7 linked regions of the Ovis aries genome follow. The protein of the gene in region 1 purifies or fractionates together with the protein of each later gene. This does not show direct contact. Links are inferred from orthologs where the notes say so. Each region holds a gene or a part of one and is shown in the gene's direction. Other genes may lie near its edges. The genes, in order: ACTL6A, ARID1B, DPF3, PHF10, SMARCC1, SMARCD3 and BRD8.

Region 1 (4,290 bases):
ATATTTCAATTAAAAAAATTTTTTTAATTAACATTAAAACAAAAACAAGGCAGGGTAATTTGGCCCTGGGGCCATACTTTGCTGACTTATGCATTATCTCATTGGGTAAACGATGTTTCTAAATGATTGGGATACCCTGATGCTGGGAAAGATTGAAGGCAGGAGGAGAAGGGAAGGCCAGAGAATGAGATGGTTGGATGGCATCACCATCTGGTGATGCAGAAGGAAATGGCAACCCACTCCAGTGCTCTTGCCTGGAAAATCCCATGGACGGAGGAGTCTGGTAGGCTACAGTCCATGGGGTCCCAGAGAGTCGGACACAACTGAGCAACTTCATTTCACTTCACTGACTGGATGAACATGAGTTTGAGCAAACTCTAGGAGATGGTGAGGGACAGGGAAGCCTGGTGGGCTGCAGTCCATGCAGTTACAAAGAATCAAACACGATTTAGTGAGTGAACAACAACCGAGATTACACTAAGTGAATAGTAAAGGGTTTTCTCACTAGCCTTGTTCCCTATCCTACAATCACTTTCTGCCACTCTGTGGCACTGAGATTGATGGAGTTAATCAATTGTTCTTAAAAACTACCTATATGTCTAGACTCTAGACAAACTAATTTAAGGACGGCTATTAACCTCAAGGATTTACAACATGACCGTGATTTGGGAGTTTTTATAGATCAAGCTGCCTGCTAAGAGGCAAAGGGACAAATTGTTGTAGTAATCCTGGGAGAGGGACAACGGTGATCTGACTGGGTTGGTAGACACAGGGGACTAAGAACAGACCGTTCCGAGATGTGTTTAGGATTAGGTGCTCGCTCAGGTGAGGACTGATTACATTGTATTACACCTGCCTCACAGGATAAAAGGAATTGATGACACATTTTAAGCGCTACTAAAGTTAACTGGGATACTGTGTCATCTCCTTCTTTTAATTATTAGTAACCACTTTTAAAATTCCAGGGTCTTATCGGTTTGTCTGGTTTACTGATGCCCTCTACCCCAAAGTGGAGGATAACATTCAATTTTTTCAGTTAGTTGAAAATACTTTTTCTGAAAAAAATAAAAACAAAAAACAAAAAAACACCAACCCTCATTCACTACAAGCCCAAACCACGGGTACTCCTGGTGGAGACACTTTCTCAAATTCCAGACTTCTTTTTCAGAGGCTTAGCTTGCTCTACCGGATTCCCACCTCTCCTCCGCTCCCAGCTACATCCTGAGCCCGCCCCAGACTGTTGCCTCCAGCCTTCCTCCTCCCCCTCCAGCTCCCTCCGCCCCACTTTCCCTCCCACTAAAGAAGCCCCGCCTCCCCGGTTCCGCAACCCAACTCCTTCCCTCCTTCCGTCGCTTTCCTCTCTCCCCGCCCCTATGGCTGCCTTCGATTGGCTAAACTGGCTGTGCCGCGACAAGGCTGTAGCACAGCCTTATTTTTATTGGTTGAAGTGTAGCCGGGCCTCTTGTGATTGGCCGATAGCAGGAGACAGCAAGTGTGACTGCGTTCCGGGTGTGTGTGGCCGCCGCTTTGTTGCCTGAGGGGGGTGGTGGTGGAAGTTAAGGGAGTCGGGGGCTAGCGCTTCTGCAGACCCGCAGTCGCAGCCGTTGCAGTCATTTCGCCAGGTGGCCTTTACGAGTAGAAGTCTCGTCGACAGCAACCATGAGCGGCGGGGTATACGGGGGAGGTGAGTGCGGTCGGTCGGGAGAGCGCGCCTTTTTAGCTTGTGGGGTTTGTAACCGCCGCCCCCAGCCCTCCCCTTCCCGGCGGCCCTTCCGGTCTCCCCCTGGGGACCCCGGCCTCCCCGCCCTATCCCCGCCCCGCGCTCTGCCCGCCTCCGGAGCCCACCCGGCTCGGCGAGCGCTACAGGCGCCGGGAGTCGCCGCCCCCTACGGCCCCTTCCAGCCTCGGGCCGCCGAGGAGCCGACTTTTGGGGCTGCGCGCGGTCCGGGGCTGGTCGGGCAGCTCCACTCGCGGGCCAGGCCCGGAGAGCCGCGGCTGGAGTGACTGGCCGCAGGGTCACCTCTCTCCCAGCCGGCTCTGTCGCGGTGTGCGCGCCCGTTTAAAGTTGGGAGGTCCCAGCAGTTCGTCGGCGTGGCTGGAGGGTTTCCGCGGCGTCTCGGAGGTGGCACAGCGAGCCGCGAGGAGTGGAACTGATTGGAGGAGTCGTGGCCACTCAGGACACAGCCTCCTTCTCCATCCGCGCTCACGCAGCCTCACGCCTTTCAATAACTTCTCCCTATTTGTTGACTGTGGATGCTCCGGACTTATTCGTGGGCGACTCTGCACCGGCGTAATTTAGGAACATATGCAATTTAAGGTTGCTTAAAGATGGGTGGGCTCCTGTGTAGTGAAAGATTACCATGGGCCTGGGTTGTAATATCAGCCTCACCACTTAGTAAGCTCATTGGCCTTGGGTAAGTTACTTAACTTTTGCCAACTTCAGGTTCGTCGTTTGTAGAATGATAATTCCTACCCATTGGGGTGGTTGTGAAGATTAAACGGCGGTAATGCTGCACTTACTACTAAAAGTATGATCCAAGGAGCAGCAGCAGCAGCATCACCTGCAAGCTCTTTAGAAATGTAAAATCTCAAGCCCCACTCTAAATCTACCGAATTGGAGCCTCCGTTTTTTCGAGATGCTTAGATGAAGCATTGATGTATATGATTCATGTTTTTGATGAATTAGAGAAGAAAGAAACTCAAAGTCGTGCTTTTGTTACTGTGTTCAGTAAGGATACTGTTTTCTGAGCGGATGGAATATTATAGGTAGGAGATGAAAATAAGCTTTTCAAAGTTTTTAGTAGTTTTGAAGTGAAGCTTGAGTTTCTGCTCAGGTGACACGCTGGCCCTCACCCTCTCCTTCTCCATATATGTTTTTGGTTTTGATTTCTGAAGTGTAAGAATCAGTTTTCCATTGTTACTTTGGAGAAAGCCTAGTGGATCTTCATGATTTACTTTTTCCCCACCTGAAGATGTAATTCTGACAAAAAAGCTGAGTATACGTGCTCGTGGAGGCTGCAGACTCTATTTTTTGTTTTGTTTCGTTTTTGGCCTCACCATACAGCCTGTGGGATCTTAGTCTCCAGATCAGGGACAGAACCAAGCCCCCTGCGTGGGAACCACAGAGTCTTAATTACTGGACCACTAGGGAAGTCCCTCTCCAGTGTTCTTGCCTGGAGAATCCCAGGGAGGGGCGAGCCTGGTGGGCTGCTGTCTATGGGGAAGTCCCTGCTGATTGTTTTGACTCTCAGGTTCACTCATCTAAGGACCTAAAGGTTGTCCACTGAGTATTTTAATGTGAGTAAGGTAGAAATGGATACCAATAATTGCAACAGTCAACATTTATTGAGTGCATCCTGTGTACCAGGAACTGTTCTTCATGACAGAGGCTTGTAATGCATTGTATTTAATACATGCATTGTCAGTTAATCCACAACAGCCATGGGAGGTGGTTCTACTTTTCCCCATATTACTAAAGAAGAAAATAAGGCATAGAAAAGATTAACCAGCCTAGAGTTACATAACTTTCTAGCAAATGGGCAACAGGAACTTCTGGGATAAAGAAAAGGCATTTCAGTAAAACCTTTTCTCATTAAAAAAATTTTAAGTCATTTTTCAAGTATATAACCACAGCATATTCATGTATGATTTAGATATTCAGAATAAACATCACTTTGTTCATGTAGAGGAGTATATCTTAAAGCCTGTTTCACATATAAAGTATTTAAAACTGACAAAAATAAGTGTATGATTTTGTGTTTGAGCTGCTACTGTATGACCAGTATTTATAGTGGGTCACATTTCCCAAAAGGTTTACTGTAAAAGGCAACGAAACCTCCCACCCACATTTTGTGTGTAATTAACTTAGTAAACTGTATTTTTAACTAACTTGCTTATAAAATGAATGTTTGTAGTTTAATTTTTAAAATTGGTAGCTCTTTTATTCCAGTGTTTTTTTCCTGATCAGACCTAACACTCCGCTTTAGATCTAATGCACAGTTCATCCAGATTTTCACACTTTCCATAACTGGTTTCTGGGCCTACTCATTGCTCCTGTGTCTATCTTACACGGTACTCCTCTGCTTCAGTCTCCTTTCCTTGACAGAAATAAACAGGTATACTACCGGTCCATCTTCGATACTTCATTACTTTTATCATTCCACAGCCCCCCTTCCCATCTCTAATCATAAAAACTTCTCAAAATCATTCTCCCTGTGAATTGGGGCACCCTTGTCCAAACAAAAAAGTAAAACAGCCTTCTTACCTCTTCGCAAAGTCAGCTTCCAGTAT
Region 2 (3,500 bases), on another chromosome or scaffold:
TGCATGTCAGACACAGGAATTTGCTGTCACTAAACAACTCTTCAGGTCTAAGACCTCTTGTAAAATAGAAGGGGTTTTAAACATTAATTTGACCAGAGCATGTTTGTATAGAGACTTGTATCATCAAATCAGCACCTTAAACAGTGTTCCGCCATATGCGTGCCTCCGTCCTGCGCTCTCATCAGGAGCTTCCCAGCCCATCCGGTGGTGGAAGCCCTGGCCTCCTGGGAGGGGAGCTCAGTGAGGCCATACCAGCCCTGTCCTCAGAGGTTCTCCTGGAGGAGACCCAGACCAGCTGGAGGCTGGAGTGGGGTTCATCCAACGTCAGGTGTCAGGGGCACAGGTCAGAGTGAGGAGCCAAGCTCTGTGTGGAGGCTTTTCTGTAAAGTTAGGCCCAAGGGGTCTGTTTAGTCCCGGAGCCCTTCGGGCTGGCCCTCAGAGCGCTCTGTCACTTGTGGTGAGGTCTCCGGCCAGCTACACAAGCCATCCCTGTGATCTCCAAGCCCTCATTCCGTGCGGCCTGTGTGGTGGTCACCCTCGCCTTGCTCTCCCAAATCCACCTGGAGAATACCAGGAGAGGAGGATTGGTTTTTCCCCACGGAAGTTTTGAAGTACGTGAAAACAGACAGAGTACATGCAGTGGTTTGTGTAGTGCTGAACATCGCACCTAAACTGCTATCCGTGGACGTGGGAGCTTCCCATATTCATTTTGAAATGAACATTCCACCAGGTAATAACTATTTTGCCTAATTTAAGTGCGTGATTATACCTGTAAAAGCACATTAGTGTGATCTGTCTCTGAATTTTCAGAACTACAAGCGCCATATGGATGGCATGTACGGGCCTCCAGCCAAACGCCACGAGGGAGACATGTACAACATGCAGTATGGCAGCCAGCAGCAGGAGATGTACAACCAGTACGGGAGCTCCTACTCCGGCCCGGACCGGAGGCCCTTGCAGGGACAGTATCCATACCCCTACAACCGAGAGAGGATACAGGGCCCAGGGCAGATACAGCCGCACGCCATCCCGCCCCAGATGATGGGCGGCCCGATGCAGTCATCCTCCAGCGAAGGGCCTCAGCAGAGCATGTGGGCGACCCGCAATGATATGCCTTATCCCTACCAGAACAGGCAAGGCCCGGGCGGCCCCACGCAGGCCCCGCCTTACCCCGGCATGAACCGCACCGATGACATGATGGTCCCTGATCAGAGGATAAACCACGAGAGCCAGTGGCCTTCCCACGTCAGCCAGCGTCAGCCTTACATGTCCTCATCAGCCTCCATGCAGCCCATCACGCGCCCGCCTCAGTCGTCCTACCAGACGCCACCCTCACTGCCAAACCACATCTCCAGGGCGCCCAGCCCCGCCTCCTTCCAGCGCTCCCTGGAGAGCCGCATGTCTCCCAGCAAGTCCCCCTTCCTCCCCTCCATGAAGATGCAGAAGGTCCTGCCCACCGTCCCCACGTCCCAGGTCACCGGGCCGCCCCCCCAGCCGCCCCCCATCAGAAGGGAGATCACTTTCCCTCCTGGCTCCGTGGAAGCCTCACAGCCAGTCCTGAAACAAAGGCGAAAGATTACCTCAAAAGATATCGGTAAGCGTTCCCAAGGCTCTGCTCCTGAAATGATTTCCTGTTGCCATCTAGAATTTTAATTTTGGGTTAGATGTAGTTGGATAACCTCAAAGGGATGAAATTCTGTGACTGCAGACTATCAGGACGTGCTTTTGTGCAGGAGCAATAGTTGAAAGGCCCTCCTCTGAATTAAGGAGAGGGAGAATTAAAATGGATTTCTTGCATGTGAGTGTTTACTAGTGTGAGAGGGCAGAGCCCCAGGTGAGAGACGGGGACTTCTCAGTGACTGTGGACTGTATTTGGGGCTTAAAGATTTTATCTTAACCAAACACATCATCTCTGCCATGATGTGAGAACAGCTGTGAGGCTGATGGAACACTAGGGTGGCCTGAAAAAATTTGACAGCAAGCCACTCTGTAACTTTGGTAAGGACATACAGACAGTGAGTTCCCCTTGGAGCAAAACCAGAAAACTGACTATGCTGTATATATAGACATAATGTGCTCTATGGAACTTCACATGTGGATAGAATTTAGGTGATCCCTGCAGCACTGCTGATGGGGCCAAGGAACTCTCTCAGGTGAACACTGCTGTCACACGCTCATCCGGGTGGAATCTCCTAAATCCTAATTAGAGATTTGGAAAATCTGGGAATACACACAGTTTTTCTGCATTATTTTTGAAATACTTTTAACGCAGCTAAGGAAATAATAGAGTTCAGTTTTATCCAAACTTTTTTCCCAAAAATCTCAAAATCACATGACTCAAAGTTCTTTGCAGTGATGAGAAAATTAAATATTTTAAAGATATGACCAATGTTTTTAATCATTGGACATTAAGGGGCGGGGTAGGGGGAAGTAAGGAGTTCTACATAGAGGACGTGCTGGAGGCAAGAGAGAAACAGATCCTGGGCACCGTGTTACATATGGTAATATATATGTAAAAATAAGCATGTATTTGTGTATGTGTATAGATATTTAAGCAAATGTGTGTGTGTTACTCAGTCATGTCTGACTCTTTGTGACCCCCATGGGCTATAGCCTACCAGGCTCCTCTGTCCACGGGATTTTTCGGCAAGAATATTGGAGTGATCTGCCATTTCCTTCTCCAATTTAAGTAAATAAATGCATTTAAATTTGGAAAAAAATTCTTAGTGCATGTTATACCAGCCTAGGGAAACTTATGTTCCTGATTTTAAAATGAAATTTGCCTTTCTATTACACAAGTATTATGTGCCTCTCTTAGAAAATTTGAAAATTAGATGAAATTAAAATAAAAGTGGACACCCACGGCCCCTCCCACACAGGAGTTGGCATCTGGCCTGGCTGATGCTGTGGGGAGTTCCAGCTGCTCACACCATGTGCTTCCACCAGTTTCCTGAGACAGCTTCCCTTGAAATTTCAGACACACGACAGGCCTCCCCTCCAGCCCCATCTTGTGACAAATCTTAAAAACTTTTCCTCTCATCGTTCCTCTTGGCCTCCATCTCAGGCCAGGCTCCTAAAAAACCAGAACCATCAAAATGCTAGCACTTGTCAGCAGCATGCTCTGTGGTCCAGAGCTCAGACAGAAAACGGCATGGAAGAATGAAAGCTTTCTATCAGTGAGCATGCTGTTTGGGAATTAAATTTTGCTTATATTCTACATATTCACCAGCCTTCTGAAGATACTACCTTGACACATTTGTGAATAGAGTCAAAGATGACAAATACAGAAAGAATCATTCCCACTTCTGTTTAACCTGCAAAGCAGAAAGCTCTTCACCCACAGAAGTTTCTTAGTCAGTTGTCAACCTCCACGTGAAATGACCATGTTTAATTGTCCCTTGGAACCTTTGTTTAAATCAATATTTTAACTTAACATTCTGCTTTTTCTTATTCTTTTGTTATGTTCTATTCTTTCATGTGTAGAGTTAATATTAATCATG
Region 3 (3,981 bases), on another chromosome or scaffold:
TGCCTAAGAACCACCTTCTCCATCTGCTTCTGGTTGCCACTGGGGTGAGGGCGGGGGGAAGCCTTAAATTCTCTAAACTTCATTAGCACACATTATTTTTCAGTGGGAAGCATGTCTGGTTTTGATGAGATACCCATAAAGGTTATTAATTTCTGCCAGAACCCAAATGGAGGCATCGCCACAGAGAACTGCTGCGGTTGCAGACCACCTGGGAGACATTCAGAGGTCTCCAGTTGAATGGGAGTTGCTTAGTTCTAGAAAGTGGCCTGGAATTCAGAGGCAACTTAATTGGAGACTTCTCATCCTCCTTTGTCTTTTTGGAACCATGCAGGTGGCTGAAATTTAGGTACATCTGAGAAACACCATAATGTCTAAAGCTGTTCCAGAGCCATCTGCTCAGATCAGTGCAGAAAATAAAATGCCATGGTCAACCAAGCTTTGTTTTGAGCTTGCACCAGAAAAGGAAAAGAAACTGAGGCTAATGTTTCAGTTTTGAAAGTACAGCCATCCTGATTGTAGTGGTGCTGGGTGTGGGTCATGAAAAGCATCAGAATTCAGGCCTGTCTATTATCCCAACCTCTGCAAAGTAACTTTTGTGGTTTCTGAGTGTTCTGAAAGTCACTAGAAGACAAATGTAGCCCAATGTGGCAAGCCCCTGAAATGCCACAACCACTGAAACAGTTTTTGCCCAGCCATGGTTTTCCAGCAGGGGCCTATGTAAGCATGACCCTAGCATTAAATAATCTTTAAACATGTAGGTATTTAACAAGGAAAGATAAAGAAGTGGCCTGGGGAGAGGGGATACGGAGGGGATAGGTAAGTGGATAAAACTACTGTGTGGTCTGGAACTCTGAGAAGATGATTGTTTAACAGCAAGAGAGACTGATGTTATGATCTATTGCAAGTTCCAAAGTTTTCTTTAGTTGTGTGAGCAACTGGGGAGAGATGAGGTGTTGTGGTGTTTTTGTAATCTGTTTTTCTTATTGGTCCGGTTACTAGTGTTTCACAGTCTGTCAACCCATATGGATGAATGGAGCTAGCATCATAAAACTGTCACTGAAGGAAGGTTTTTGAAGCCTGTGATTTGCATCAGAGTTTTAAAAGCAGTGGCTAGGAGGTGTTTGGGTCAGGGGAGGGGAGAAGAGGAGCAACCTATGCTGGAAATGTCTAGGTTGTGTGTTTGTGAATAGTAGTAGTAGGTGGGGGGTTACAAGGAAAGCAGGCTAAGATTTAGGGGGCTGTGTTTGAAAGCAGGGAGGGGCAGGAGCTCCTAATAATAGGGTTCAAATAGCCCACGTTGAGACCTTCACCTCCAGGACTTAGTTCTGAGTCCAAGGAACAATGATGATACGTGTCTAATCCCCCTTTGCACCCTCTCCTCCCTCCTCGAGTCCAGAGCTTGCTGTCATCTTAGGTTGCTATGAAATGAGTGAGTTTTTCTCATTGTTGAATATTCACTTCAAAAATCTGCTGTGGTATTAACTTCAACTGGAAGCTCCACCAGAAAAGGTTTTTCAGTTCTCAAACTTTCACCAGTCATCCCTATGTCCTTATGTCAAACTCCATCCCTCTTATACTTTCTCACCAGTGACTATGCTTTTGTAGCTTCAGAAGTAAAAGCTTCAGGGAGAGGATCCCGGAGATTTGAGCTCAGTTTTCAGCCCTACTGCTCACCAGCTATGAGACCTTAGACCCAGAACTTCTCTGAGCCACATATTCCTTGTCTTAAAGGTGAGGGTGATGCACCTTGATTGCCAAATTCCTTTCCAGTAAAAAACTGGGGCCTCTTGACTATGGTGGATTAGGAAGGATGAGGAGGACAGTTAGGGACCAGTGTTTGAATTCCTCCTCATTTTTTAAGTGTGGCTCTAAAAGGGAGTTAAGACTGGTAGGCTCTCCTGTAGTTTCATCTTCTCTGGTTCCTGTCTTGCCACCTTCTGTTGCCACTGGGCTCTGATCTCTCTCTTCTCAGCGCCCAAGGCTGAGGGCCAGGTGGTGGCCCACTGAGAACGTGGTCTTTTCTTCTGATGCTCCCTTTTGAACACTTTTCTCCTCATTAACACTCCAACCAGGGGATGAAGACGGGAAAGAGAAATGAGAAGATTAATTGGCCTATTTTTTTCTGTTTACAAGCACTCAGATTATGTTTTTGGTTGTGCAAAAGACTAGAATTATTGAGAACATCTCTCTTTTTCTTCCTGTTTTGTGTAAATGTATGGTGGAAGAAAGGGAACCGAGCAAAAGATTTTCTTCTCTGGATTTCATTTATCTACAGTCTCCTTCAATCTACTGTTCTTCTAACATGGCACCCATCCCAGTTAACATGGAAATAAATGCTTACTTCATTTCCATTTGGGCAGTTGCAAATGCCCTACCATTCAGTGAACTGCAGTGGGTGGGCCTGTACTGATGTCTCAGTGAGCTTCCTCTGTTGCACCCCGTGATGCTGCTGAGGAAATGGAGGTGTTCAGTAGACACAGAGTCTGGCCTTACGCAGGTGAGTATTAGCAGTGTCTAAAGTGGAATTCACTGCCTCTCATTCAGTGATATGCCTCCAGAACATGCCAGATTCCTCTGGAGGCATTATTATCAGGCTTTCCTTTGGTTGACAGCTAGCTCCCTTGGCAATTTTCTACATGTCTAAAGGAGGAAGAGGGGGTTGTTAAAACCATCAGAACATTCACAGAAGCCTGAATTGTGAGAATTAGGCAAAATGAAAGAAAAAACAAAATGGTCTCCTTGACCTCCAGCCTACAGAGGCAGTCCCTTAAATTTTTTTGTACTTGTGGTAAGATGTATCAATACATAACATGTATATTTAGCATGTATGACATGTAGACATACCATTTTAGCCTTTTTTAAAGTGTTCAGTTCACTGGCATTAAGTACATTCATAGTGTTGTATAACTACCAGAATATTCTGTATTCATTTCCAGAATTTAAAAAGTCATCCTAAACACACTCTATATCCATTAAACAATAACATCCTCTGTTTTAATGAGGACATCCTCCTCCCACCCCATCCCAGTGTGGTAACCACCATTGTACTTTCTGTCTGTATGAATTTGCCTGTTCTAAGCACCTCATATGAGTGGAATCATACAATATCTGTCCTTTCGTGACTGGCTTATTGCACTTAGTATAGTGTTCTTAATGCTCATCTGTGTTACAGCATGTGTCAGGACTTCCTTCCTTTTTATGGCTGAGTAATAGTCCACTGTATATATATGCCTTATTTTGCTTATCCATGCATCCAGGGATGGGTCCTGGGGTTGTTTCCACCTTGTGGCGATTGTGAATAGTACTGCTATGAACATGGGTGTGTAAGTAGCTGTTTGAATCCCTGCTCTCAGTTCTTTGGGGTATATGCCTAGACCCCCCCTTCATTTTTAGACTCACTAAGATTCATGGAGTACATTTCTAGATAGTATAGGCAACTCCTTTCTTCTAAACTTAAAAAAAATACTCATGGCATCATAGAATTCAACCTCTTTACCTGCCTCCCACTTTAGGACTACCACTATTTTGGGGGTGGAGGATAAATGCCCCAGGAACTCAGAGACTCACTTCTTTTATCCCCAGCCAGAGGATTGCCTTCATCTTGTCACCACCCCCCCACCCCCAACCCGTTGAGGGCAGGGACTCCCTTGGGGTCAGGGTCTGGATATGGGGAGGCCCCAGAGGCTGCAGCACTAGTTGTCACCTGGTGGGGCTGGAGCGAAGGTTTCCCAGGCAGTGGAGGTCTCATCAGGCAGCAGGTGTTCCTGCTGGAAACACCTGGGATGACAGGACAGCTTGAAGGTCAGGAGGTAGTAAATCTGACCTATCTTTTCATAAGGGGAGAAGGGCATGCATCTCATTTGGCCTCCCTTCCCTGCGCTAAGCCCTGCTTACCACCCCCTGAAGGGCCCAAATGAAACAATGGATGTGAAAACACTTCAGAAAGTGTAAAGTACAAATGGGAGGTGTTACTAGAGCTGC
Region 4 (3,500 bases), on another chromosome or scaffold:
TCTTTCCTAAATATATTAGTACAGCTTTTTAATATAAAACCATGGGAGTTCATCTCGACAATTGGTATAATCTCATACTATGAGTTTAAAAAACTGTTGGTATGACTCACGTGTGTGCTGATGCTTTTGGTGAAATTTGAATTGGTTCTATAATATTTCTAGTAAACTGGATTTGAAGGCTAAGAATGGAAGCATATTGATAAAGCCTTTGTTTTTCTCACCTGATACCCTGTTAATTGCCAGTGGTTAGTGTGTGTTATTATTTAGCTCTTGTTTCTAGTAAAGGGATATATGTTTGTATATAGTACATGGAGTCTTAAAGAAGTTTGGTTAAAAAATTGATTTCTTTGCCATTGCAACTTTGGTAATCTCTTTCTTTATAACTTTGATTTTATATTATGAGTATTATTTTTTCTTATTTTTGAGTATATTAAAATAAAATTTTGCTTTGAATATTGGAAAGCTTCTTTTATGTTGAGTAGTTTGGAGGAAACTCAGTTTTGAAAATCAGTATGTTCAGTTAGCTTTAAAAGAGCCTCTGTACTTTTTTTGTCTGAAATAGGTTTAACAGCGTTGCGCAGTGATGAAGTAATTGACTTAATGATAAAAGAATATCCAGCAAAGCATGCCGAATACTCTGTTATTCTCCAGGAAAAAGAGCGCCAGCGAATCACAGATCACTACAAAGAGTATTCTGTAAGTATCGAGGTAACCAGGATTTTGGCTTGGGAAATCACATTTTATAAAGTTAGATGTAACTTCCAACTGTAATATTTTTATTTCAGCAAATGCAACAACAGAATACTCAGAAAGTTGAAGCCAGCAAAGTGCCTGAGTACATTAAGAAAGCTGCGAGGAAAGCAGCTGAATTTAACAGCAACTTAAATCGGGAGCGAATGGAGGAGAGAAGAGCTTATTTCGACCTGCAGACGCACGTAGGGTCGCTAACGGTCACCAGCCCTGAGCTTGACTGGCCGCCCGTGACCTTGGGCTGCTGAGTGCCGCTTTCGCGGTGCCCTGCACTGGCAGCGTGTCCTCGCCTCCCCTGAACCGAGGCTGCCGTCTGTGTGCCTGCTGCTGTGTGCCTCTCATCGGCGTGTGTGATGTGTTCCCTGCTGGGTGGTGGGCGTGCTGCTGCAGGGGTCTGGTAGCTGAATAGCTTCCCGTGTGCTGGGGTGGACGGAAGAGGTTTCCACGGTAGCTCATGCACTTCTTGCCCTTGCTGCGGGAGGTGAAACTAGTACTGTTTCCGTTTCATGGACGAGGCAGCTGAGCTCCAAAGGCTTCTTGAGTAGCCCATACGCGGTGAGCAGACATACTGCCTCTCCTCAGTGGCCGTGGTGAACAGCCAGACACGTCCGCCTGTAGAGCTAGAAGTGCCAGCTGGTCCCTGGGTTACAGCTCCTGGGAGAAGCGCAGTGCAGGGCAGGGGGGCCTAGTTTCCTAAAGGCGTTACCTCTGTGCTTGGAATCAGGTTTGTGCTTCTCTTTGTGTTAATTCAGGTTATCCAGGTGCCTCAAGGGAAGTACAAAGTGCTACCGACAGAGCGAACCAAGGTCAGCTCCTACCCGGTGGCCCTCATCCCCGGACAGTTCCAGGAATACTACAAAAGGTACCTGCTGGGGCTTTCTTTGCTGTTAGTACTGGGGTTGGTGAGAGACGTCACGGCCTGTGTTTGTCTCCTGGAAGTGCCTAGCTCTGTGAGCTTCGCTGTGAGAGGTGTAAGGTTCTTGCCGGGGTTCTCTGTCTTCTGCGGGTCTGTGAAGAATGTTCTCTGAACTTGAGCGTCTGCTGCTAAAGCCTGGGACGCTGCCTCCCTGCTCACCTGTCTGTGCTTCTGGGACGAGAACCCGGGGGAGCTGCAGACCGCCGTCCCGAGGGCGTGGCCCGGGGCCCAGCCGCGCTGGTTGGAGATGCCCAGGCTCCCCCCTGCAGCCGTGGAGTCTGTGCTCACAGAAGCAGGGGGACTTGGAGAGGCGGGAGTGGCCCATGGGGAGGAGGGCGGTGGCCCGGGGCTGCTGCTGCCCTGGCCTGGCTGCTGCCCCGCTTGGTGGCGAGGGTGCCGCGTGTCTCTCCTTCCCAGCCTCGATGGAACCAGCTACTTTTGTCAGTCTCAGCCTTTGCCTCCGGAGAACCCTTATGTTTTCAGGAGAGAGAATATTCTTTAGACAGTAGTATTTAAAATAGACCATAGTATTATACTTTTGAAAGTCAGACTGAAATCATAGTGTTACATAGTCCAAGCTTACTCAGCTCACCACACCTCACCTCTCATCTGAGAGACGGGCTTGAGGCAAGAAAGAGAGTTTATTTGGGGAGCTGGCTGACTGAGTAGATGGCAGGCTAGTGCCTCAAAATAACCATCTTCTGGGGTCTGGATGCCAGGTTCTTTTATACATCAGAAATGGAGGGAGGTGAGGAAGCAAAGGAAAAATGACCATTAATTAATCTTGCAAACATCTCCTAGAATGTCAAGTCTCAGGCAGGGGATGTGTTAATTTCTTCCCTCCTGCCATCTGTGGGTGGACCCCGCGTTCTGATTAAAGGCACTTTTTGTCACGTAGAGGGGTAGGGTCCTCTGAGATAGGACATTCTGTTTGATTATAATAACAAAAGAACGAAAAGCTAGTCAAACAGTTCAACATGGAGTCAGAATTGGCTGCTTCTCTGCAGCAGGGTGTCAGCAATTTAACATTTCTCGTTTTGGACGAAGCAGATTATTGGGTGATAGCCCTGTGTGCTCCCCCGCACCCCACCCTTTGCTTCCTGGTGGGATGTCTTGGTTGAGGAGGATGCTCATCCGTGTCCACTCCCGACTGAGGAGCCAGGGTGTGGCCGTGGTGTGGTCCTGCGGCGGCAGCGTGGACACGCTCAGCAGGCCACGTGCCGGCTGCCTGGGGAGGGGGTGGCCGGTCCCTAGTTTTAGAGGAAAGAGTGATCACGTTGGTTAGAATACCTGCTGCCCAAGTAGGTTTTAAATGCTGTGCTCCTGGAAACTGTGTTTCTGAAACGGTGTCTGAGCCGTGGCCCGCTGCGACTGCCCCGTGCTCGTTTATCTGACGCTCGCATCCGCTCTGTGAGGTGGACTTGCTGTCATGCCTGCTTCCCGTGTGAGGGCGAGGGGCTCACGCGCTGACGGCTCAGGATGGCGGAGGCGAGGGGGTCAGGCAGCTGGATTTTGTGCCTGGCTCTGTGTGGCCGCAGTTTCATCCTTCACTGCCGCCTTCACTGCTGATGCTTCTTTGACCGGGTTGTTGAGGGCAAAGGAGAGAGGCATTTATCTTCGATAATAAGATTCAAATGTATGCTTTACACGGTTAGGCGAAAAGACGTTTAGGCTTTTTACTGGTTACATGTCCCCATTTGAGCACCAAAGTGAAAAAATTATTTATTGCCTCTAATCATTTTTCAGAAGTATTTGGGATTAATATTAAGGCTGTTATCATTGTTCAGAATTAGTGCATTTCTCTTTAATAACAGAAGAAAACTGGAAACCTTCT
Region 5 (3,500 bases), on another chromosome or scaffold:
ACCTTAGTACTCTGACTCTCCCTCCACAGGTCAGATACCAGGCCCAGGTTCCATGATGCCTGGGCAGCCCATGCCAGGCCGCATGATGCCCACCGTTGCAGCCAGCATCCACCCCCCTGGGAGTGGCCCCACCCCTCCTGGTATGCCTCCAATCCCAGGAAACATCTTAGGACCCCGGGTACCCCTCACGGCACCTAACGGCATGTGTAAGTACCCAGGTGGGGGGAGGCACTACCCTCGGGACTTTTGGGGAGAGCTGTACACAAGGGAGGCAAGCACCGTTTGTTCCCTCTGGGGTGTGACAGATCCCTGGACAGGATGGCCTGTGAGGGGCGCTTCTGAAACCTGGGCTTTGGTCATTGCGCTTCAGCATCCCTGGTGGACAGGTACCCAGGTGGTGAGCACAGAGTGCTCCCAGTTAGTCAGGAGCCTTCCATAGCCTTCGTGGATGCATTCGTGACACCAAGGGCTCTGGCAAGGCCAAGGGCACACCTCACCCATGCCTGTTTGAGGCTATCTAATTTGAATCTGAGTCGATACACAGAACTACTGGTAGTTATTTTCTGTACAGGAGCCTTTTATGGATTCAGGATTTAAAAGAGGTAAGTGTAAAGAAAAGAATAGAGTCTGGTTTAGGGCAAGAATAATAATAAGTTTTTGTCCAATATATTGGTAGTGGCTGCTTAGACTTAGAAAAGAGTATTCAGGGCTGTGTTGAGAAGGAGTTTGAAGTCTTAGCGGGCTCCATCGAGCGGGCACATATGCTGATGAACAGTGTCTGTGGCAGTGTGCAAAACCAGCTCGGTTTTGCCATGGAACCCTTGTTCTGCTCCAACCCTGGCCTCCAAAGGGGTGCATCAGAGCCTGGCCTGCCCTCTTACCCTGTGGACCATGGTAATGATTCCAAAATGCAGCTGACAGTGGCCATGTACCCCGCCACATCTGTGATCCCAGGTCCTTTTAGAGGAGGACCTGGGTTCTCATGAGGTGGAGTCAGCCCCTGTTTGTTTATAGTAATACAGCTTATAATAAAATGATAATGTATTTATAATACAAAAACATAAAGTAATAATAATGAATTTATAATACAATACAGAGAGCTAGGATGCAGAGGTATTCCTGGCCTCCAGGAGCTTTAGTTGGGAAAATAAAACATGAACAAATGGATAGTAGTGTAGGATTTACCGTAAGTTACACAAGGCTATTGAGTGGCTTGAGCTCACTATAGTTCTCTGGGAGACTTCCTAGGGCCAGGAGACAAGTGCCATCAACACAGGTGCATCTCCTTTCTCATTGGACTCCTAGGAACAAGGACAGATTTAGGTGCACAGAAGAAAGACAGCACTTGAGCCAGGTCAGTACAGGATCATTGTTGAGAAACGAGGGACTTCCTTGGTGGTCCAGTGGCTAATACTGCGCTCCCAGTGCACGGGGCCCGGGTTTGATCCCTGGTCAGGGAACTAGATCCCACATGCTGCAACTAATGATCCTGCATGCAACTAATGCATGATCCTGCAGCTAATGATCCGGTACAACCAAATAAATAAAAAAAACTTTTTTTTTTAAGCGATCTTTGTTGTTACATCAAGGATCAGAGATCATAGTCTAGTGCGTACCTCTTTTCCTAGCCTTGCTGCCCCACAGGCAGTGTAAAAATGTGCTGGCTGACTGGGAGGGTTGACCACGCTGCCATCCCCGTTGCAAACATAATATCATTGGTCTTTACCACTGTCCTGTCCTGCTGATAACACCTGATTTGTATACATGATTCCATCCTGAAGGGCCCTCAGTGCAGTACCTTGAGGGTGTGGAATGTTTGGGGTGCTCCCCATCACTTCCTGCCCCAGATGAATTTCAGGGATCCTGAGCTGCTGATTTGGCTTCAGGGCATTGGGCAGGCCTCATCAGGCAAGTCACTTCCCTCTTCAGGCCTTACTTTGCTCCCCTGAAAGGTGACACTAGGGAGTAAATCGGTGGGCTTCAAAACGCTTTGAAGAGCCTTAGCAATTGGGTGGACACCTCCTGAGGGGAAGGTTGGATGAATTAGCTGGTAAGCAAGGAGGTGCTTTAATTGTTTAATTCGTTTTCATCCCTGGCAAAATCTTGAAGTTTTTAAAACCCTGGATTGAAGTATCTCTATGGTTGCTTTGTACACTAAAGCAGTCAAAGTAGAAATAGGAAAGAGCTCCTTTCCTAATTGTTCCCTTCAGGACCTGACCTAGTTTTGGCCAAAAATTTAAAGACTACAGTTCAGGAGTTGCGGGGCCTCTCCAGGCTATCCAGCTTGTTGGCCGCTGCCTCAAGTCAATCTCTGTGACCCTGGTGGAGACAGTTCATAAAAGCCAGCAGTTTCTGATAGGCAGTTTCGTCCCCAGCTAGGCTAGGCACTCTGAGAGAACGCAAAGAAGACACAGAACTTGTCCAGGAAGGAGCTTATCATTTAACTGAAGAGAGAGAATTAGCAGTGAGAACCATTAAGATAATGATAAAATCAAAATATAATTAAGTTCTGCAAAGGTCTGGAGGGATTGAGAGTGGGGCGGACTCAGACACCTCCGCACCCCCGAGCCGCGTGGGTCAGGGGAGCCACACAGGTGGTGACGTGGAGGTTCAGGTGGACCGCCCCATGTAGCCCTCAGCAGCAGCCGTGCCTCACAGGCCATAAAGAAACTTCCTTTATAAGTCCTGTTTCTCTGCATGGGCTCTTGCCCAGGCCCCTTGTGTTTCCGGCAATGACAAGTTCCTTTTGGATGTGTTTGCAGATCCCCCTCCGCCGCAGCAGCAGCCACCACCTCCAGCACCTGCGGACGGAGGCCCTCCACCTCCCGCTCCTGGCCCACCAGCCTCAGCTGCACCGTAGCCCGAAAGACACAGGGGACGTCCGCGCCCAGTGCCCCCAGCTGGAGTGGGGATGACAAGACTTGTGTTCCTCCGCTTCCTTGGGTTTCTTTCAGGAGTTTTCTTCTCACAGCCCCAAGCACGCACCCTGACTTTTCCCCATTCCTCTTGCCACCCCTCTCCGTGCTCTGACACCTGCTGTGTTAGTCCTCCTCCAGCACTCAAGGGGAAGCCACTGCTGCCAGTGTGCCCTGGTCGCCCTGAAATACCTGGCGTCTCCCTGACCCGCTGTGGGGTATGCTGACAGTGTGTCTGCAGGTCCTGTCAACGTTAGTGGTCTATGTCTGTATCATTTTTTGCTCTCCTGCAGTTTTGTTCTGTTTTTGCTTTGTCTTATGCTTATATGGATAATGCTTTATAATCATTATCACTTTTCTTTTTTTTTCCTTTTGGTCATTATTGCTTTAAAGGAGAGCATCCTAAGTTAATAGGAACCAAAAAATATTGATGGGCAGAGGGGATAGCCAGAGGGGACAAACCTTAAGGCATTGTAAGTGACCTTATTTCTGCTTATCTGAGCTAAGAATGGTGCTGATGGTGAAGTTTCATGAGACTTTTGCCACACATGGACGCACCAAAATTTAAAGAGATGGGGAAAAGTG
Region 6 (3,468 bases), on another chromosome or scaffold:
CTCGGGGTTCGGGGGGAGGCGTAGCTCCGCGCGCCTGGAGCCCGGAGCCCTGGTTCTGACCGCCGGGCGCCTGTGTCTGCTTCACGCCCCCCCGACCCCCCTCCCCAGCGCCCCGGGATGCCGTCTGGAGCCCGGATGCCCCACCAGGGGGCGCCCATGGGCCCCCCGGGCTCCCCGTACATGGGCAGCCCCGCCGTGCGACCCGGCCTGGCCCCCGCGGGCATGGAGCCCGCCCGCAAGCGAGCAGCGCCCCCGCCCGGCCAGAGCCAGGCCCAGAGCCAGGGCCAGCCGGTGCCCACCGCCCCCGCGCGGAGCCGCAGGTAAGCGGGGGTGGGGGTAGGGGGGGTGCCCAGCGCGGAGGGGGCGGACGCGGGACCCGGAGGGACGGGGTGGGAAGCCCGGGCGGAGAGGGGTCAGCAGGGATCAGGCGTCCCGGGTGGGATGCTTTCCCAGGAGGCGGGCTGAGGGGGCACTGTCCCGGTTTCTTTGTGTGCCCACACCGTGGAGACAGGCTGTGACCGTCGCGCCCTTCTCCTTGTCACCTGCTCTGTCCCTCTCTGCACCCCAGTCCCCTGGTTCTCGGGGGATGGAGGCGGGGCTGTGGCACCAGGGCTCAGGGCCGAGCTTTACACTGCGGTTCCTAGCGCGGTTGTCCAGTGCGCCTTCCTCAGAAGCGCCCCTGGCTTGACTCCTCGAAAGCCCCACTCCGGATCTTGTTAATCTGAATCCCTGGCCAGTGGCGGGAGAGCCTGGGATTTGCCCCATGGTGGGCAGTCTCTGCCCCCTGGCGCTCTCTGGTGATTCTTGGGCACTCAAATGTTGAGGAGTTGCCACGGTCTGTCTTCTGGACGGGTCTGCCCTCAAGCCACCAAGGGCCAGTCTGTTTCCTTGTCTGAGCCAGCCAGTGGCACCCCCAAAAGCCCCTGCTGGTGCCTGGCAAGGAAGATACCCCTCTGGGTTTCACTGTTTAGCCAAACACACATGCTTCCTTTTGCGCACCAGATGGAGTCCTATAAAAGGTGCAATGTGGATTTTACCTCATTATTAAATATTTTTTTACATGTCAAGGAAAATTCACCATTTATAGGAAACCCATGAGGAATTCTTTGCGAAGTGAGTCATTCTTTTGTAGAGTCCCTGATTTATCTTGTACAACTGGAGAGTTTCACAGAGATAGTTTCTTCAAAACAAACCAGACCTTTAGTGAAACCTGCTTGTCTAGCCTTGAATAGATTTTTGACCAGGGCTGGGGCAGTGGCTGAGACCACCACACGGGGGCAGTATGCAGCCATTCCCTAGGCTGGGTTCTAATTTCTACTCGCCAAGGGTTTTCTGGGGTTCCTTCTGGGAGTCGGAACCGGCTAGTGGATCCAGCAGAGTCCAAGTCCCAGCTGCTACCCCAGGTTCAGCCCACCAGCCACACCCCAGAGGGGAACATCCGTACCCACTCTATCTGGATACCTGTGGGTGTGTCCCTTGGCCCTGCTGGCAGGTGGTCCAAGGGCATGAGCACCCCCTGCCCATCAGGGTCCCCTTCCTAGCCCAGGGTGGCTGGGGTGCTGGTCCTCACCAGCTTCACACCATCACTTCCTGCTTCTGGAATGGGGCAAGGGGGTCAGCTCCCCTCCCCACCAGCTCAGCCACCTTGGATTGTGTGCCCCTTCTCAGAGGAGGGAAAAAAAGTCCTCACAATGCATCCCCCCACTCTGTCCTTGCCTCTGCCCAGCTTTCCCCAAACATTTCTGCAGCGCCCCTGCTCCGAGCCCCTTCCAAGGCTAATTTCTCTGGATCTGGGGATGTGGCGGGGCAGAAAAGGGGCTCCCAGGCCAGAGAAAGGACAGAGTCACCTCCGCTCCCCATGAGAGGACAGAGCCACACACGGCCGGCGCCGGCATAGCCCCTCGGGCGGGCAGATGAGCGGGCTGTGGGAACCCCAGCCAGGCGGGCTGAGATGTCGGGATAATTTAGCAGGTGGCCTCGTTACTCCCAGATCTGTCGCCATGGTAACCTGGTTTTTTCTTTAAAAAATGTACAGTGCCAAGAGGAGGAAGATGGCTGACAAAATCCTCCCTCAAAGGGTGAGTGCCTTTCACAGCAGCCCCCAGCCCACCCCACCCCCAACCCTTTGCTGCTCCGCCCTCCTCTCCCCCCCACTCCCCGCCACCACCACCCCGGGCCACCTCCCCTCCCCCCTCAGGAGCAGCGCTTCAACATCATAGTCACTTTCACTTTTTTTGTTTAAAAAGCTAATTAAGAAATGAGGCTCCCCCAGGGCCAAAAGGATGGGGTGGGGCAGAGGGGAACGCAGAGCCAGAGGGGGTAGGATCCTGGGTCTGGGGGGGGGGGCTGCAGATCGAATTCCAGCGGTCTGCAGAGACATAAAGGCAGGGGACAAAGAGGGGCTGAGGGCTCGGGGACCACAGGCTGGCAGAGGAGAGAAGGGAACAGAAGCTGGCCGGAAGGCCCAGCAGCGTAAGGGGACCCAGGCCCAGCTGGGTCTGGAGGACGGCTGAGACCCCAGCTCGAGCAGAACATCTGGATGAGATGTCACTGTAGGCCCAAGCCGCGACATCTCCTGTCTCAGGGACCCCAGGGGCCCCTGACCACTTCACAGGTGCCCAAGGGAACCCAGAGGCTGTGCGACAGGGAAAGGACAGGATGAGGAGGTGAAGCCCTAAGCACCTGCTGGCCTCCATGGTTGCTTCGGCCTCCCCTAGTGATGAAATGCATGGATATCTCTAGTGGGAGCAGCAGTTTCATCCCTGTAACATCCAGGCCTTCATGGCTGGATTCAGAGGTCCCGTCTGCGCTGTCCAAGTTCCCTGCCCTGAATGTGGCCAGCTCCCTGCCCGCCACACTCGCACACTCCTGGGGCCACGTGACACCTGCACGTTCCAGCTGCAAGACTGGCTGAGCCCCTGGTTCCCTGCCTCGCTTCCTGCCCACTTCCAGATCCGGGAGTTGGTCCCGGAGTCCCAGGCTTACATGGACCTCCTGGCGTTTGAGAGGAAACTGGATCAGACCATCATGAGGAAGCGGGTGGACATCCAGGAGGCTCTGAAGCGGCCCATGAAGGTGCCTTGGGTTGGGGGTGGGGTGAGGGCGCCAAGTCCTAGTCCCTGAAAGGGAGAAGCCAGGGCTGGCCCCCTGGGAACTGGCTCTGTATGACACTGTTTATCTCTACAGCAAAAGCGCAAGCTGCGTCTTTATATCTCCAATACTTTTAACCCTGCGAAGCCCGATGCCGAGGATTCTGACGGCAGCATCGCCTCCTGGGAGCTGCGGGTGGAGGGGAAGCTCCTGGATGACGTACGTCCTGGCCCAGGTCTCTCCAGGTGTCCTGGGGTGGGTATGGGGCTGAGCTGAGGCCGGTACTGGATGTGTACACCGAGGGCTGGGGAAGTCAGCCCTGGCTGCGGGAGGGTGGTCCAGAGAGACGTGCCCAGGCCTGCTTCTGACTGTGTGGCC
Region 7 (3,500 bases), on another chromosome or scaffold:
TTCTTTTCAGTGTAGCATAGGAGTGAAAAACCCAGTCTTGTACATTAGACAGATCTGAGTTTAATATGATTTTACTTAAAACTTTGAACCATGATCCTTAGTTTTCTGATTTGTAGAATAGAGATAAAAGTTGATTCAAGCTTGTTTAAAAGATTTTGTTGAGATAATACCTAGAAAACATTTAGTTCAGTGCCATGTATATGGTAACTACTCAGTAGATATTAAATATTGGCTCTTAGCTTGTCTCTCCCCAATACACAAATTCCATGCCAGAATTTGTATTACATATTATACAAATACATATTTGTATTCTGTATTATGGTGTTGATTGTTTTGAACTGATTTGATTGCAAAGTAATTTGTCCTAAGCTACTCATACCTTAAATATAGCTCTCCTGTCTAAACCTTAGTGTATTATGTTGAAATTTTAAAAAGTCGTCCGTTTTTAGGCTTGGTCATCATGTTTTCACTTTTTCCACAGCACTGTGCTTCCCAGTACTCAGAGCTTCTAGAGACCACGGAGACCCCAAAGTGAGTACAGAGCCAGGCATTTGAACCAAATCTCTTTAGTGGAGAATATTTACTGTAGAAGTCTGCTTTTTTTTAAAACAAAGAAATTATTTATATTATGGTATGAAAAAATTGTAAAAATATAATAGTAATAATCTTTGGTTATGTGGTGAAGATGCCTCAAAGAAAGCAAGTGGGAGTAGAAATAACGTTCTTCTTATTCAAGTCTGTATGTGTTTTTTAAAATTTTCCATAGGCGGAAACGGGGTGAAAAGGGAGAAGTGGTAGAAACTGTTGAAGATGTCATTGTTCGGAAACTGACTGCTGAGCGAGTTGAGGAACTAAAGAAAGTGATAAAAGAAACCCAGGAAAAATATAGGTACATACCAGAGAGAATGCAAAATGGTTGGGAGAGACAAATGGGGCTACCTTACTCTAGTCAGAAATTTTTAAATAGATTGAAAAACCTAGTCTACCCACCTCTCATCCTACAGACGACTGAAAAGAGATGCAGAACTAATTCAAGCTGGGCACATGGACAGCAGATTGGATGAACTTTGCAATGACATTGCGATGTGGGTTATATTATTTTTCCATCTATACTCCTTCTCTTTTTGCCCTCTTTACTCCTTATGTAATCTGGTTTATTTCCTACATCTGCTACCCCTTTAGACTTGAGAGATTTTTGGAAAGGGACAGCTGCAGAGTGGCCTGGAAGCTGGGAGGGGGTGGTGAGTCTTAGAAGGTAATGTGATAGAACATTTCACGTGAGAACATAACTTAGTTCTAACTTAAAAGTGGCTCTAGTTTGCTGAGGTAAAGAACTGGTAGTTAGGTAGTATACTCAAACTTCCCTATTTTGCTGATAAAGTTTGTGTGTGTGTGTGTTTTTTTTTTTCCTTTAGGCTTTTCCTCTAAAAAGAGCTAGCCTGGCAAAAAAAAATTTCCTTGTGAGGGCACTATGAACTGTGGAGGAGCTAGAGTCGGCTAGGATCTAACCCTTAATTTTCTCTTTAGGAAAAAGAAACTGGAGGAAGAGGAGGCTGAAGTGAAGAGGAAGGCTACAGATGCAGCATATCAGGGTAAGGTGAACCTAATGACTAGCAGTTGACTGTGCAGTACTGCATGTTGATGGCAGGCGGAAAATATTTGTTAACACAGAATCCACTAATTCCAATTTACTTGCACACTTTCCTTTGTCATCTTCTCTTTCATCAGAATAAAAGTGTCCCTTTGTGTCCAGGAAGAAGCTCTTAGAAAGTGAGCTCTATTCAGAACTCACTTGACCTTGTGTTCTTTTAAGTACAAAAGCCTGATAATAACCTACTGAACATAAACAAGGTTTTAGAAGTCAGATTCTGTAAAAAGACTGAGAATAGCTCAGTCACTGGATAAGGGGGGAAACTTAAGCATTTATAACTCCAGGATTACATGCTCTGAACCAATAAGGTCTTTCCTTGTTTAAAGCAGAATCTCAAGTTGTTGTAGAGGATACTGAAGGATGTTTAAACTACTTTCCTACTCTAGGAACTTTTACGGTATACGAATTTGCTCATAGGAAAAATTAGGCTAAAAACTTGCAAAGAAAGCTTTCTAATCTAGATTCTTAACACTGCTTTAGTAATACAACATCTCTATTTGTCTTTTGTTGTATAATAGCAGAGTCTAGTTTTATTTTTTTAATCTTGAAGACAGAAATCCTTTTTTATGTTCTAGCCCGTCAAGCAGTAAAAACACCCCCTCGGAGGTTACCTACTGTGATGGTCCGCTCTCCTATAGATTCTGCCTCCCCTGGAGGTGATTATCCACTTGCGGACTTGACTGCAACCACTATGGAAGAGGCCGCCTCTGGGGTGAGTGTATTTCCATCCACAGGAATTGATCAGCAAGGGGCAATAAGCCAGCTGAGAGCTGAGTAATGAGGAAACCACTTTTGGCTTAAAGACTGTTTCCTCTCTTGGTCTGAATGCTGAAGACTCATCATGTTCTGTGCTTTAGGATAAGAATGGACCTAAAAACATTGAGCCTTTTGAACCGTTCTTAGAAATAGGTAAAAGACTAAGTTAAGGAATTACTTGTAAGTGTACTGGTCTTATGAAATTCTTGCTGAAATATAGGATGACTTCTTTGTAAATACAATATTGGTAGTGGGTAAGGAGTTTATAAAAGGCAAGTTGGGTGGAAAGATTGGGTCATTTTGGGTTTGAGTGGGTGGAAGAGAAAAATTTGGGAGGGAGAAAGGTGTGATTAAGAGCAAGAGGGGTTGAGGGTTTCTGGGCAGTTCCGCTCAGGACTAATACAGTAATAGTTAGATACACTAACCCATCCAGATTAGTAGGGAACCTTCCTGAGTTTGAGAAGTCAGATAAAGGTTCTCTGTTGTCTCTTAGGTAACCCCTGGGACTTTGCCGAGTACCCCAGTCACCTCGTTTCCTGGAATTCCTGACACCCTTCCTCCAGGCTCTGCACCCTTAGAAGCCCCCATGACCCCAGTAACAGATGATTCACCCCAGAAAAAGATGCTTGGACAGAAAGCAACTCCACCCCCTTCCCCTCTGCTGTCAGAGCTCTTGAAGAAGGGCAGCCTCCTGCCTACTAGCCCCAGACTGGTATGGAGACTTCTGTGGGTGTTTGAGAGCTGTGGTGATTTAGTAATTTGGAAGGGAGTGCCTGGGACCTAAAATATAACCTAAAATATACATGGAAAAAAAGTTCAAAAGAGGAAGAGATCTCCTAGTTAAATGTTAATTTAAAAACAAAACAAGTAGTTGATAGTATCCTTGGGTCCTGAGGTATCTGAAACCATAATTATTTTGGTTCTCTTCTCCAGAGGACTCTTGTTCATAACATTTGAAAATTAGAGTTTCCCCGGGTCTACAATTATTTTCTTTGGATATTAACTTTTAGTTTCATGAAGTTTGGCCAACTGCTGGAGCTTTTTTTGGGAAGTGGTAATAAAGGAAAGCTTGAGTGTAGCCTTCGCCTTTGTT

Evidence for each region.
Region 2: the proteins of ACTL6A (region 1) and ARID1B purify together in Homo sapiens (affinity purification with mass spectrometry; 5 studies listed by BioGRID and IntAct, with this or other methods). This does not show direct contact. The link is inferred for Ovis aries from reciprocal best matches to the Homo sapiens genes ACTL6A and ARID1B.
Region 3: the proteins of ACTL6A (region 1) and DPF3 purify together in Homo sapiens (affinity purification with mass spectrometry; 4 studies listed by BioGRID and IntAct, counting the BioPlex papers as one, with this or other methods). This does not show direct contact. The link is inferred for Ovis aries from reciprocal best matches to the Homo sapiens genes ACTL6A and DPF3.
Region 4: the proteins of ACTL6A (region 1) and PHF10 purify together in Homo sapiens (affinity purification with mass spectrometry; 3 studies listed by BioGRID and IntAct, with this or other methods). This does not show direct contact. The link is inferred for Ovis aries from reciprocal best matches to the Homo sapiens genes ACTL6A and PHF10.
Region 5: the proteins of ACTL6A (region 1) and SMARCC1 fractionate together in Homo sapiens (co-fractionation; 8 studies listed by BioGRID and IntAct, with this or other methods). This does not show direct contact. The link is inferred for Ovis aries from reciprocal best matches to the Homo sapiens genes ACTL6A and SMARCC1.
Region 6: the proteins of ACTL6A (region 1) and SMARCD3 purify together in Homo sapiens (affinity purification with mass spectrometry; 3 studies listed by BioGRID and IntAct, with this or other methods). This does not show direct contact. The link is inferred for Ovis aries from reciprocal best matches to the Homo sapiens genes ACTL6A and SMARCD3.
Region 7: the proteins of ACTL6A (region 1) and BRD8 fractionate together in Homo sapiens (co-fractionation; 4 studies listed by BioGRID and IntAct, with this or other methods). This does not show direct contact. The link is inferred for Ovis aries from reciprocal best matches to the Homo sapiens genes ACTL6A and BRD8.

Annotation. Positions count from the first base shown.
Region 1 is NC_056054.1:208,341,945-208,346,234, reverse strand, and holds the start of ACTL6A (actin-like protein 6A), read left to right. Parts: upstream 1-1,490; 5' UTR 1,491-1,659; coding exon 1,660-1,684; intron 1,685-4,290.
Region 2 is NC_056061.1:81,578,612-81,582,111, forward strand, and holds part of ARID1B (AT-rich interactive domain-containing protein 1B), read left to right. Parts: intron 1-810; coding exon 811-1,594; intron 1,595-3,500. UniProt on the Homo sapiens protein: Involved in transcriptional activation and repression of select genes by chromatin remodeling (alteration of DNA-nucleosome topology).
Region 3 is NC_056060.1:82,481,867-82,485,847, reverse strand, and holds the start of DPF3 (zinc finger protein DPF3), read left to right. Parts: upstream 1-1,181; 5' UTR 1,182-3,981. UniProt on the Homo sapiens protein: Belongs to the neuron-specific chromatin remodeling complex (nBAF complex).
Region 4 is NC_056061.1:91,178,691-91,182,190, reverse strand, and holds part of PHF10 (PHD finger protein 10), read left to right. Parts: intron 1-562; coding exon 563-696; intron 697-785; coding exon 786-935; intron 936-1,502; coding exon 1,503-1,616; intron 1,617-3,500. UniProt on the Homo sapiens protein: Involved in transcription activity regulation by chromatin remodeling. Belongs to the neural progenitors-specific chromatin remodeling complex (npBAF complex) and is required for the proliferation of neural progenitors.
Region 5 is NC_056072.1:52,090,186-52,093,685, forward strand, and holds part of SMARCC1 (SWI/SNF complex subunit SMARCC1), read left to right. Parts: intron 1-29; coding exon 30-206; intron 207-2,762; coding exon 2,763-2,860; 3' UTR 2,861-3,500. UniProt on the Homo sapiens protein: Involved in transcriptional activation and repression of select genes by chromatin remodeling (alteration of DNA-nucleosome topology).
Region 6 is NC_056057.1:115,434,475-115,437,942, reverse strand, and holds part of SMARCD3 (SWI/SNF-related matrix-associated actin-dependent regulator of chromatin subfamily D member 3), read left to right. Parts: intron 1-108; coding exon 109-320; intron 321-2,035; coding exon 2,036-2,078; intron 2,079-2,952; coding exon 2,953-3,075; intron 3,076-3,186; coding exon 3,187-3,309; intron 3,310-3,468. UniProt on the Homo sapiens protein: Involved in transcriptional activation and repression of select genes by chromatin remodeling (alteration of DNA-nucleosome topology).
Region 7 is NC_056058.1:47,263,308-47,266,807, reverse strand, and holds part of BRD8 (bromodomain-containing protein 8), read left to right. Parts: intron 1-481; coding exon 482-531; intron 532-766; coding exon 767-889; intron 890-1,004; coding exon 1,005-1,085; intron 1,086-1,527; coding exon 1,528-1,592; intron 1,593-2,226; coding exon 2,227-2,363; intron 2,364-2,900; coding exon 2,901-3,119; intron 3,120-3,500. UniProt on the Homo sapiens protein: May act as a coactivator during transcriptional activation by hormone-activated nuclear receptors (NR). Isoform 2 stimulates transcriptional activation by AR/DHTR, ESR1/NR3A1, RXRA/NR2B1 and THRB/ERBA2.